Linked DNA regions of Oryzias latipes. The protein of the gene in region 2 purifies or fractionates together with the protein of the main gene of each other region. This does not show direct contact. Links are inferred from orthologs where the notes say so. Each region holds a gene or a part of one and is shown on either strand. Other genes may lie near its edges.

Region 1 (3,649 bases), on a different chromosome or scaffold from region 2:
CTACAGGCTAAACCCCTGGTACAGAGCCAGTCAGTGGTTTCTGGATGCTCACATCCCCACCTGTGAAGCACTACTACGTACGCTTACATACAGTCTCATGGAGCGCCTGGACAAGTCTAAAAATGCAATTATGTTTTTGACTGATCCTAAAAGAGGCTCATTCCGCTCAACTCCGCCACACTGGGCACAGAGGTTATACTCCTTTTTAAATGGTTGTAAACTGTAGTTTTGTTTTGTTTTTCTATTTTTATTGGTATATTTATTTATTTTTACTATGTATGTTGTATCTGTCTTCTTTTATGGACCGCATTTGAACATGAAATAAAGTGAATTATGTTGATGAATGGAGGATTTCCTTATTAGGATGTATGTTTCTGGCTTCCAGTATACATATTTTGCAGGTGATGAAAAACTACTAACAGAAAACATGCTTCTGGGCTTACAATTGATTTGAAAACGTTTTACAAAGTGCTCAAAGCCAGAAATATTTAAACTTATAGACTTCTGTTTAAATACGCCTATTAATGTTTTGGTAATTGACATGTACAGTTATAGCCCTTCGGTGCCCTGCTTTAAGACACTTCATTACAATCAGAGTGGTAACTAAACCTACCATCTTGCTATCAAAGCTAAACCACTACCTCATTGCTACAGCTACCAACAGATGGAAACAGTCAATCACAAGGTGAACAGTTCAAAGGATTTGGGCTTGAAGACATGCTCAATTCCTCTTTAGGTCCCAAGTGTCAGAATGGAAGAGAAAAGTCATTAAGGGGAACTGTTACGCATAGCTTGAGGATGCTGTGGTTTTAGGTACGAGTAGTATTTCAGTAACTGGAAAAAAAAAAAAATCTGTTCAACTTCAAGATAATTGTCCAAGGATTATGAAAAATCAGCCAATAGTGACAAACTTAGGCTAAAAGTGCTGCCAGACTCAACACATTTCTCAATCGACGAGGGAAAAAAAATATCTTGTATAATGAGTTTTTGTTCATTCATAACCATAACACAAAGGATTAAGTTTACTTTGATTGAAGCATCACTCTCCTGGCGATGGTGTTATTATATGGGGTATGACTTCTTGGTACATTTTTGGCTCCTAATTTTGAAGTGAAAAGTAAACCCCTTGTGGTTCTTGCTACCGTAATTAGCAGGTCTACCCCTTTCTGATAACAGTGCAAGTATTAAAAGGTTATAATTTTTTTAAAACTACTTTCTAGAACATTGACTGTATGTGAGAACTGGACGGAGTCCTTCAACGTCACGTTCCAAATAGGAAGTACCAAATTGGCTCCAAGAAGGAAAATTCCATTTACTTCTCATAAATAGCTAATACTCAGTCATTCTATTAGTCAGAATAGCCATTCTTGCTCTGCTATCTTTTTTAACATGTTCTTGCTAATACAAAGTTTTTCTGTGGTGCAACTTACTAAAGTTCTGAACTGGCCAATCGGGCGCGTCAATGAAAGTATGAGGTCTTACGTTGCATCTTCAAAACGTGTGATTGACAGATTCTCCCAAGCCCATTTTGTGTGGGGTGTGGACTTCCAACAAGCTCACTCCTGATTGGTTGCCATAGAAATGTTGACTGAGACTGACTCATACCAACTGATGCCTACTGCTGTTGTCTGGTTCCAACATGGTGGCATCCATATCGAGACTAAATGGGGACTGAATTGACTTCATATCGTTGGAGCTGAAAGTAATGGGAGATGTCACACTGACTCAGTCCAGTTCTCGTATACAGTCAACTGTTTAGAATGCAGTTATAATGTCATGGTGGATGGGTTGTTTCCAGAGTGATCAGATCTCAAACCATGTGAGTAATGTACAATCATGGTGGAATAGCCGTGATAAACGTAAACAGATTGATATGAAACAATGGCCAATAAATATCTTTCCTGCCAACATGAGAAAAACACAACCTTTCCTATAAACCTGACATAGTTTCATGGAGTATTTATGATTAATAACCACTACCTGAGATAAGAGGTTTTCTTTACTGCATGTGCCGATTTAATGGCTCAGTTAAACCTTTACTCTAAGTAGAGAAACACTGATTGCAAAACTAGGGCAACCTCCCACACGTGTGTAAACTACAAGCAAGACTTTATCGCACAGAGAGGCTAAGCAAGAGCGGGAGATGTTGTACTTAAAACTGCTGTGACTCCTCCCACCTCATCATTTGCAACATCTCCGATGCAACCGACAGAACACTTACAAATGATCGCTTTCTTGAGGTCTTACTCCGTCATGCACTGTTGCTGGGCGGAAATGCAACAGTCATCCAACACTGCACACCTGTTAACCCTATAGATTAGCTCGTTTAGAAACCCCTTTTATAGTTATCTGTGCACAGTTCCAGCATAAAGCTAAATGAAAATGTGTACCAATCTCTGGACAGCTGCTGTCAGTACAGGCTCCTCATACCTGTTAATGGCTCTGAAATGTACATAACATAACACCGACCCCGCAGTGGAGAACAAATAGTTACAGTGTGGAAATTTCAGTGTAATAATCTGAGATGATGACCAAAGTTGGTCATCAGGATGCAACAAAAGCTCCACATCCACAGAGCCAGTACTTATTTTTTCAAAATACATTAAATTTCTGACTCAAAGAAAACTCCTGACGTAGTCGTGTTTAGGGGTAATAATTGCTAATAACAGGTATAGAGCAAAGGAATGAGACAAGAAGAATAGGAGCTTCTCTGCACACCAAAATAAGAGAAAATAGAAAGAAAGTGAAAGAGAAATTTGGAAAAGAATAACACACAAATGCCTTAAATAGATGGGATACAAAAAGTAAAAAACTTTATACAAGGTTTTCCGTCGTGTGTGAGTCTCTACTGTTGCTCCACCTAAAAATATAAAACTACAGCAGACATGGCAATGAAAATCCAGGTAACCAAACAAGTTTCTAACAGGAATTATATTCCCTCAGTCATCTGGAAAGTTTATGTTTACACAGGGCACGGTCTGCAGTTTAACCCATTGTCGTCTGAAGGATGTAATAATCCTACGTTTAAAATCATTTAAATACCCTCACAAATTGGTGTGGGATCCTCTCCGCTCAACTGAAGACCAGAACAATCCCAGAAAGCTTTCATGTGGACCTGTGAAGTCTTCAGCAAACATTTGCTTTTGGGACATTCCTCACACTCCTGTGGAAAAGCCCTTTCTAGACTTGCAAACATGGTAGGAATTAGAACTGGAAGCTTAATTTTGGGGACTTGGAAAAAAGAAAAGTCTTTTATATATTGCAAAACATTAACAAATGTTTTGTCTAGCTCTTTCAGTCTCCATGGGCTCTCTGAGCACTTCAGTGCATGCTAAAAAAGGACAAAAACTCTTTGGCTCAAGTTCAGGTTTTCTGCCACTTATCAGGAATAAAAATAAAATTCTTCCTACTCCTACTGAACGGGTAACACTGGTTGCATTTTCTGAGAACACGCCATTTGTAATACAAACACTACAGTCCTTCCCTAGAATAGTCTGGCAATCAGACAAAGTCGGCCTACCTTGATGAGTTCTGTCCGCAGGTTGATGGTGCGCAGCCAGTCTCGCAAGTGAGGGTAGCTCTCCAGGGCCTCTGGCCTGTCTGTCTCTGGCACTTTGTGCTTGCACTGCAGCTGTTTACAGATGTATTT
Region 2 (4,171 bases):
GGCTGTGGTTCAGCGTCAAAGCAGCGACTGTTCCTTCACACCAGCAGGGAGGTTCCTCCTAAGAGGAGCCTCCATCTCAAACGTCTGGCCGCTGTTTTCCTCCCAGATTCAAAGGTGTGATCTGACATTTGGACCGTTGGTTCTGTTCACGCGGTGGTGCTCCGGTTGCATCATGATAATGGTTCTACCGTCATATTAGGAGGAGCCAACGAGCGTATGAGGACAGAAGAGCAGACATGATGTTTGTCGGTGTTGGAGGCGTGGTTACCTCTGTGCATGATCTGGTGCTTCTCCCGCAGGTAAGCCAGCCCCCTCAACACCTGCCAACGACACAGCAGAGAAGATCCAGCAGCAGAACAAACCCATTCCAGAGGAACAGACCCCCCCCCCCAGCCACAGGCTCTTACCGCTATGCTGACTTTTCCAAGAATCTCCTCAGGGATTCTCCGGGCTTCCTTTAGGACCTGATCCAAGGATCCACCATCCTGTGGAGACAGAAGACGTGGATGAGAACCTCAACCAGCAGGACGTCTTCAGGGATCCTGGAGGCTCAGAGTCTCACCATGTGCTCCATGCAGATGCTGATCTCTCCATCGCTGTAGAAAGCCCCGTAGAAGCCCACGATGTAGGGGGAGTTGCATTCGTGGAGCACCTGCAGCTCCCTGATGATCTGGTTCCTGATGGCAGGTTTGATTTCCAGGTGGATTAGCTAAAGGAGGGAAGAGGTGGAACAGTGTGGGAGTTGTCTGCAGGACCATAGACACTTGCAGTACCTCAGTGGAACGTCTGGATGGTTTCTGAGGGGGCGTGCATCACTGTGGGGGCAGCAGATTCAGCAACACGACCCACCGCCCCTCCACTAACAACTACAGGAAACTAAGTCTTCTGATGGAACTTGGAGGCCTTGAACAGCCTGAGGAAGAACGTCTAACCAGTCTGAGGATCTCGTGAGTGTCAGCCAGAGACCGAGTCCTGTCCCGTCTGCAGCAGGCGCAGACCGAGTCCTGTCCCGTCTGCAGCAGGCGCAGACCGAGTCCTGTCCCGTCTGCAGCAGGCGCAGACTGAGTCCTGTCCCGTCTGCAGCGGTCGTGTTTTATCTGCCACTACAGATCAGTTGCATTCATCTGCGACAGCCACAGACAAGTCAAGTCCCGCCTGCAGCAGCTGAAGCAGACTTGTTGTGTCCTGTCTGCAGCAGCAAGAGACCAAGTCATGTCCCATCTGCAGCAGCCAGAGACCAAGTCGTGTCCCGTCTGCAGCAGCCAGAGACCAAGTCGTGTCCCGTCTGCAGCAGGCGCAGACCGAGTCGTGGCCCGTCTGCAGCGGTCGTGTTTTATCTGCCACTACAGATCAGTTACATTCATCTGCGACAGCCACAGACAAGTCAAGTCCCGCCTGCAGCAGCTGCAGCAGACTTGTTGTGTCCCGTCTGCAGCAGCCAGAGACCAAGTCCTGTCCCATCTGCAGCAGCAAGAGACCAAGTCGTGTCCCGTCTGCAGCAGGCGCAGACCGAGTCGTGGCCCGTCTGCAGCGGTCGTGTTTTATCTGCCACTACAGATCAGTTACATTCATCTGCGACAGCCACAGACAAGTCAAGTCCCGCCTGCAGCAGCTGCAGCAGACTTGTTGTGTCCCGTCTGCAGCAGCTGCTGGTAACTTTGCAGTGCAGAAAAAATTGGGCGGGCTTTGGGAGAAAGTCAGGCTTCAGATTCCAGAATTGCCTTCTTCACCAAACCGTCAGATGAGGTCCTCACCTTGCGGGCCATGACGAGACCCGAGGGCTTGTGGCGGACCTTGTTGACCACGCCCCCGTTTCCTGCCCCCAGCTCACAGATGGGTTCGAAGTCTTCGTCCTTCAGCTCTCCCACCTGAGCCTTCTGGGTGAGGAAGGCCTCCAGACGCTTCCTCTGCTGTTCATCCAGGTCCAGCTCTCCCAGCTTCTTCTGTAAGGCCTCTAGGTTGGCTCTGGGGAAGGGTGTGTGTGTGTGTGTGGGGGGGGGGGGGTCAAAGTACAGATAGAGACAGTTTACACCCCCCTACAGATGATAGATCTGTGCAAAAGAGTGCCCCCTGCAGATTCAGGGTACTGCATGATCTGCATAAAAATGTAAATTGTTAACCCCCCCCGGGACTCACTCGGACGCAGCATCGATGGTGTTGGACGTGGTCTGTCCCTCCCCGATGGGTGTGATGTTCAGGGGAACGGGTCTCCTTTTGGGGGCCATTTCAGGGAATCGTTCCCGCACGGTTCCTTCCGGCAGCGAACAGTCAGTGCGGCCGCGCGGCACCTCTTCCTTGTTCGGCGCTCGTGAGCGGCTAATAAGTTTCCTGGCTAACGTTAGCTTTCACTTCCGTTAGGGGGGGGGCATGTCAGTGTAGCTCAGAGAAAGCGACCATCAGGAGAACCGTTCTCCTGAGAACCGCGGAGGATCTGGATTTTCTAGATATCTATCTGCTGCTAGCCATTAGCTGCTAGCAGGTCGCGCCAGTCCCTCAACAAACGTCCGAGTCCCGACACGCAGCAGCAGCTCCCCCCGCGTCCAAGAGTCACCTGCGGCCGAGGTTCGAAAAGGCGGCGCCCACTTCACCACAGCCTCCAAACTGTAGTTCGTCCTGGTTTCAGTCCGCGAGGAACGACTGCTGAACGCGCGTGGCTCCGCTCCTGACCCCGGTGCCTCAATACAGGAAGCAGCAGCTGCCTACGGCGATGGGGCTGTGGTACAGCGGCGAACCCGCTGAGTGACAGATTACCAGAATCCCAGTGGAAGTCGAAGTGCGGGTGCAGGGACATAAAGGTTTTTCTAAGGCTCGCGCGGCGCTGAGGAGGGGTTTGGTCGGACACCAAACTGCAGCTTTTCTGCGCGTTTATGTCCGCAGACAAACAGGCTTCTTGGGAAACACCGCCATCCCGCGGCCAAAGAGAGAAGTGCAGTCATGCAAAGAATGTCACAGAATATATGGAAGCATTTGTGTAGCATAATCAAAAATAATCGTCAAAACCAGAAATGCTTTTTCATTTTCAAAATGAAGCTGCATTTTTTGACTCAAAAGCAATCCACCAAAATTCTTTTTCATTTTCTTCTTCAACACTGCATGTTCTTACTCAATTCAAATGATATTGACCGAATGTGTAGCAAAATTCATTTAGAAATGTCTAATTTGACAATTAAAATGGATTTACAGATATGCTTTTTAATTTTCAAAAGGTAACTACATCTAATGACTCAAAAATAAAATGAAAAATCAATACTTCAAAATGCTTTTTCATTTTCAACATAAAAACCACTTATTCTGTGTCATTATTTAAACAAATAAGCAAAGGGGGGATTGCATTTTCATTTTAACATCCACCCTGCAAATATTTTGCTACACATTTACCAGAGAACCTTTTGAAAATGAAATGTCAAATAATATTTTCTTTATCCTTTGAATTAAGTGACAGAATGAGCAGTGAAGAAGAAAAAGAAGTTTGGTGGATTGCTTTTTCTTTTTGCAGCTTCATTTTGATAACGAATAAGCATTTCTGGTACTTTATTTTTAATTGTGCTATAGAAACACTTCTATAAAGGGGTGCTGGCATCTTAATGCAGAAAATCATCTATTGTGTAAATGTAATTTCAGCTAATTGACCGGTTTGCCTTTCGGCTTCAGCCCATCAACCCTGCAGTTCTGGAGACTTTGACTTTTCAAACGTAAACTTCAGAAGATTCATCAAACGTGTTTTTCATAGAGACTCAGCTGCACACATCTCCAAAGAGCAGATCTCTGCTGAAGTTTGGTGCCATCATGCAAACGTCTCAGCAGGTTTTCAGAAGACGGCGGCGTTTCATCCGAGATAAATTAGAGGATGAACAGTCAGCGCTGCAACCAAAACCACCCGTTTAGTGAAGCAAACCTAGAGCAGTTCAGTCTGAACCTGATAGACCACAGCTGACGCTTCTTTAGGATGGAGGAGACACAGAAAAAAAGAGAAGGAACCACTGGAGTAGGAGCAAATGCCTCCTGAAGGTGGGCAGCTCCTCCCAGAGCAGAAGTTGAGACTCAGGTCACACAGTTCCAGAAAAGAGGCGAAGATGTTTTTTAAGAACAGATTTTATTAATTCAACACGTCAATAACAGCTGTTAGAATACATTTCTTTATGTTACAGTTTCATCGTCCTGAACAGACTCA
Region 3 (4,268 bases), on a different chromosome or scaffold from region 2:
CGATGCACACTTATTTTTTTTGCAGACTTCTGGGAACCACGACAAAATGGCGAGTACCCTATGTAGTGCAATAAGTAGTAAGTAGTGAAGGAATTTGGATACAACCAATGATTGATGCTCACTCAATTGGCAACTATAGACCACAATGCATTGCATTTGAACCATTTCTTTTATTTTTAAAAAACTGTGTGTACATTTCTTTTTATAAATCATCCAAGTTTTCATCATCAGAACTCAAGTGTTATACTTAATCTTTGTAAAGTGTTAACATTTATTATGTTTATATGTTTACTCATGTTTTACTCTGATAATTTCTTATTGATGTTTTATTCTTATGTCTTATTTTTAACCTTGTACAGCAACCTTGGGTGACCTGAAAGGCGCTTGAAATAAATTTATTATTATTATTATTATTATTATTATTATTATTATTATTATTATTATTATTAGGCTGTTACTTTGTAAAATGGGTGATGTCATATTTCGCCTTAAAGAAAAGTGGTAAGAGTAGTTTTTGGGGTTTAGGGAGTAGTCAGTGAATTTGAACGTAACCAAAGGCTTTTTAGTTAGCTCCTGACGGGTAATTCTTCCTAATTCACGACAAAAGTAAAAAAAAAAAAAAGTTAATATTTCTGAAAATGATCCATAATGTTTCCCTATGTAGTAAACAAAGGTCACAAAAATACTTTAAAAGATGAGTGAAACTCAAGAAAAACTGGTAAACAAATGCAAGAACTGCTGTCAAGGTTCAGAAAAATGACCACGTTCAGCCTTTGAGGACGGTTTGAAACCACCGCCAGAAATCCTAAAGTCCTGCCAACTTAAGATGAATAATATCAAACAGACACAACACGCTGGAATTGAAGACACAAGCTGCAGAACATCACGAACATCTGACCTAGAAATGATTTCCTAGATTCTCCACGAAGGCAGAAATCACTGATCAAATCAATAAAATGTTTTGAAACAAGGTTTAATTTATGTGATCTAAGGTAAAGCAGGTGGTTTATAGTTACATGTGTTACAACACATTAATAAATTACAAATGTTTTGGGACTTTGCTCTAACAAGCAATGGTTACCTTGCAAGTAAGATTTCTAGAAATCATTAATTATCAGAAAATAAATATGATTTAGTGAAGGACAAGAGTGCTGCGTTTCCCATCATCCCTTTGTTTACACACTCTCCCACTGGCTTACAGCCCCTCATCACCCCAACGTGACATTGTGGGTTTAACAAAAATGGTGAGAAATATTGGCGCTATCCAGCCGCAGTTTTAAGCCAGATGCCAGTTCAGACGAGGAAAACGAAGATGTACATGTCATCTACAAGTGGATGCATCAGGATGGAGCGGAGCAGGGGGTTTGAGGCTTGCTGTTATACAAACCCAAAACCTTTTCCGTTTTTTGTCTACTCCGGATTCACGATGATTTGAAAAAAAAAGAAATACTCCGAAATGCTATTTTGATCTTAGTTTTTTTAAGAAATGTCCTCCTTCATCAGAAAGAAAATGCCACAAGATCATGTGAAAAACACAGAAAACACAATTTTCATCAGGGACGGCCTTAAAAGAAAGCTAGATTTGTAACAACCCCACCATTATGTTTGATCTTCATTCATCTTTAAAAAATTATAACCTTTGCAAGTGCATAATATAATTCTCACAACGTTCCTGTTTGCTTTGCACTTTCCAGCCTGATGTTTGTGCTCCATGTTTATGGATTAAGTGTCTCCTCAATGAAGAGCTCAGACATGAAGCATTAGAGCAGCATGTTGATGTGTGCAGCACTCTCTCTCTTTCAGGTGACTTTATGGTCTCGAATGTAGCTTTTCAGTTCTGTTAATCCCCCTGGGGGGGGGGGGGGGGGGGTTAGAGTGTGTTGAAGGCGTGCAGAACCTCAGATGGCTTTATGGGCCTCTTATTGCACTTAATACTGTTTGTTTTAATCTCTTGGGACAGCGTCGTCACATTCTCACAGGTGTTTATGGCTGCTCTGCGTCCGCAGCACTCACGCTGACCTTTCTTCCTGCGTGCGGCGCTCTGACTCTGAAGCAGGTCCGCTGGCCGGTTAAAGGTGGACCATCTCAAACGCAACACCGGGTTATTGTGACCGTTACATAACGTAATTTACAGAATACCCCCACGGGCCAATTAAAGGATAGGGATGTTTTGTAACCTTGTCGGTATAATCTGGTCGCCTTGCGTAACGGCGGCTGGGTTTGGGATGAGCCCAGAGCGCGCGCAGGCTGGCATGGCACACCGGCAACGGATTGTAAACACGGGGCTGCACGCGCAGGCCTCACGTATATATCTGATGAAGAGGAGAGCCACCTTCTCTTCCCGCCACCTGCAGAATGCGCAAGTCTCCAGCAGCCCACTGCAGCCCCGTGGCCTCGAGATTTATTGCACTGCACAGACAGAGCCGCGCGCACGGATGAAAGGCTGTGGAGCTTGGAGCCCCTGCATATGGATGCAATGACAGCACCAGGGTAGTTTGCTGCTGGGAAAAAAAAAAACAGCATAAACGTGCAGAGTGGCCTGTAAAAACTGACAGCCCTGGGTGATGCTTTAGTTGAGGATGCAGAGCAGTAATTGAGTCAGGGAGCCGCTTACCTCCAGCGTTCGGATCTCTTTTTGTGTCAAGTCGTTGGATGTGGCACATTTGGTCCGTAAACCCTCCAAACTAGAAATGCTTATGTCAATCATGTTCTGCACCAACTCGCACTGCTGCAAGGCTTTCTGCAAACTGAGATGCTGCTCCTCGCTTTTTGTCATCTCCTCGTTCATAGTTTAGCGCGCGCTGGATGGTATTTTTTCCCCTTAGTTTGTATTTCCAAGACAAAAAAAGAAGAAGAAGAACAGAGGGTTAAAAAAAGAGGATAATTCAAGAAAGAAACGTGGAGGAGCCCGCGGAAAAGAGCAACCAGCACAGCGCAGTGGAAAGAGATGCTGCAGGCTTAGACTCTGGCTTTGAGCCGTGAGAGGGTCGCCTCCATTGCAACAACAGTCCTCGCAGCTCCAGCTGGATGATCAAGGATGTAAACTAGACCAAACTCAATGTGAGGATGCGGAGCGGGGCTGAGCGGTCTGCTACAGCATCCATCGGGCGTCCTTTCCGTTCTAATGGATGCTGAGGAAGGGGGGGGGGGGGAGAAAAAAAAGGGGGGGAAAGGAACCAAATTTGCTGCTCAGCGCATCCTAAACAGCCGGATCGGGTAGAACCTGGCGGTTTTAAAGGTGCTGATGTGCGGATTGGATGCAGGTACTCCCTGTCTCCCTTGGCAGCAGCTGCATCCCGGTTCGCTCCCACCACACCGACATGTTTCCCGTCAATCAAAGCCACAGCAACAGCATCGCAGCGCCGCCGTAAGGGGCCGCTCTCGCGTGATCACGGCGCGCTCAAGTGGGTTCTCGTCTGCTGGACGAGAAACGCATCATCTGCGACAAATGATCTTTATTTTTCAGGGTGATATTTCATCAAATTAAACATAATTCAGCAATCTTACTAAAATGCAAACGAAGTGCCTGTTAAACTAAAAGGTTAAACAAAATTTGAAAACATTTTTTAAAACATTTATTGTGTGTACTCACCCAAGTTATTAAATAATGGGGGGGGGGGGGGCATGTTTTACTTATTTATTTATTGTTTTTGGTTGTCGCCTGGTTAGGTAGCTAAATAGTTAACGTCTAAAGCGTATATTCTAAATGAAACGTATTAAAAACCAAACAGATTAAGAAACTTGTGTATTTTTCTATTAATTTAATTTACCTATTTTACGAAATACTTATTGCACAAGTTAGATAGAAATGTATGTACATCAGGGGATTAAATATTGTTTTTTTCCTGTTAAATGCTTTAAAGTCTTATACAAATCTTTAAAATTAGTCTGATTTCCACAGCACATTAATTTTCGTTCTGAAATGTTCAAGAAAATCGGTCAAAAATGTTTTCGCCTACGGATAAATATCAAACTAACACAGAGATTTCTATTTTACAAGATAATCAACTCAAAAATGTTTATAAAATAAACAAAAAACAATTTTAAGCTTTACTTTAGAAAATATTAAAATTCTTCAATTGATATTGTGGTTTTTTTTACAGTTTACCTTCAACATATCACCATGATCCCACCCACCGGAAAGCAAAACGACATTCTGTTGGTGTTACGTCATGACGTTGGCGTGCGTTTCTGTCGCGAGCGCGGCAAAAGGAAGCGACATAGAACAGACGGGGTTTTTCCTCTACTTGCCCGGCTAATAAATAAAG

What was found.
Region 1: the proteins of map2k2 (region 2) and ksr1 purify together in Homo sapiens (affinity purification with mass spectrometry; 4 studies listed by BioGRID and IntAct, with this or other methods). This does not show direct contact. The link is inferred for Oryzias latipes from reciprocal best matches to the Homo sapiens genes MAP2K2 and KSR1.
Region 3: the proteins of map2k2 (region 2) and ksr2 purify together in Homo sapiens (affinity purification with mass spectrometry; 3 studies listed by BioGRID and IntAct, with this or other methods). This does not show direct contact. The link is inferred for Oryzias latipes from reciprocal best matches to the Homo sapiens genes MAP2K2 and KSR2.

What each region holds. Positions count from the first base shown.
Region 1 is NC_019872.2:17,293,233-17,296,881, forward strand, and holds part of ksr1 (kinase suppressor of Ras 1), read right to left. Parts: coding exon 3,521-3,649; intron 1-3,520.
Region 2 is NC_019862.2:7,813,760-7,817,930, forward strand, and holds the start of map2k2 (dual specificity mitogen-activated protein kinase kinase 2), read right to left. Parts: upstream 2,890-4,171; 5' UTR 2,226-2,889; coding exon 2,137-2,225; intron 1,966-2,136; coding exon 1,755-1,965; intron 710-1,754; coding exon 563-709; intron 486-562; coding exon 408-485; intron 321-407; coding exon 269-320; intron 1-268. UniProt on the Homo sapiens protein: Catalyzes the concomitant phosphorylation of a threonine and a tyrosine residue in a Thr-Glu-Tyr sequence located in MAP kinases. Activates the ERK1 and ERK2 MAP kinases.
Region 3 is NC_019867.2:3,439,362-3,443,629, forward strand, and holds the start of ksr2 (kinase suppressor of Ras 2), read right to left. Parts: upstream 2,907-4,268; 5' UTR 2,789-2,906; coding exon 2,615-2,788; intron 1-2,614. UniProt on the Homo sapiens protein: Location-regulated scaffold connecting MEK to RAF. Has very low protein kinase activity and can phosphorylate MAP2K1 at several Ser and Thr residues with very low efficiency (in vitro).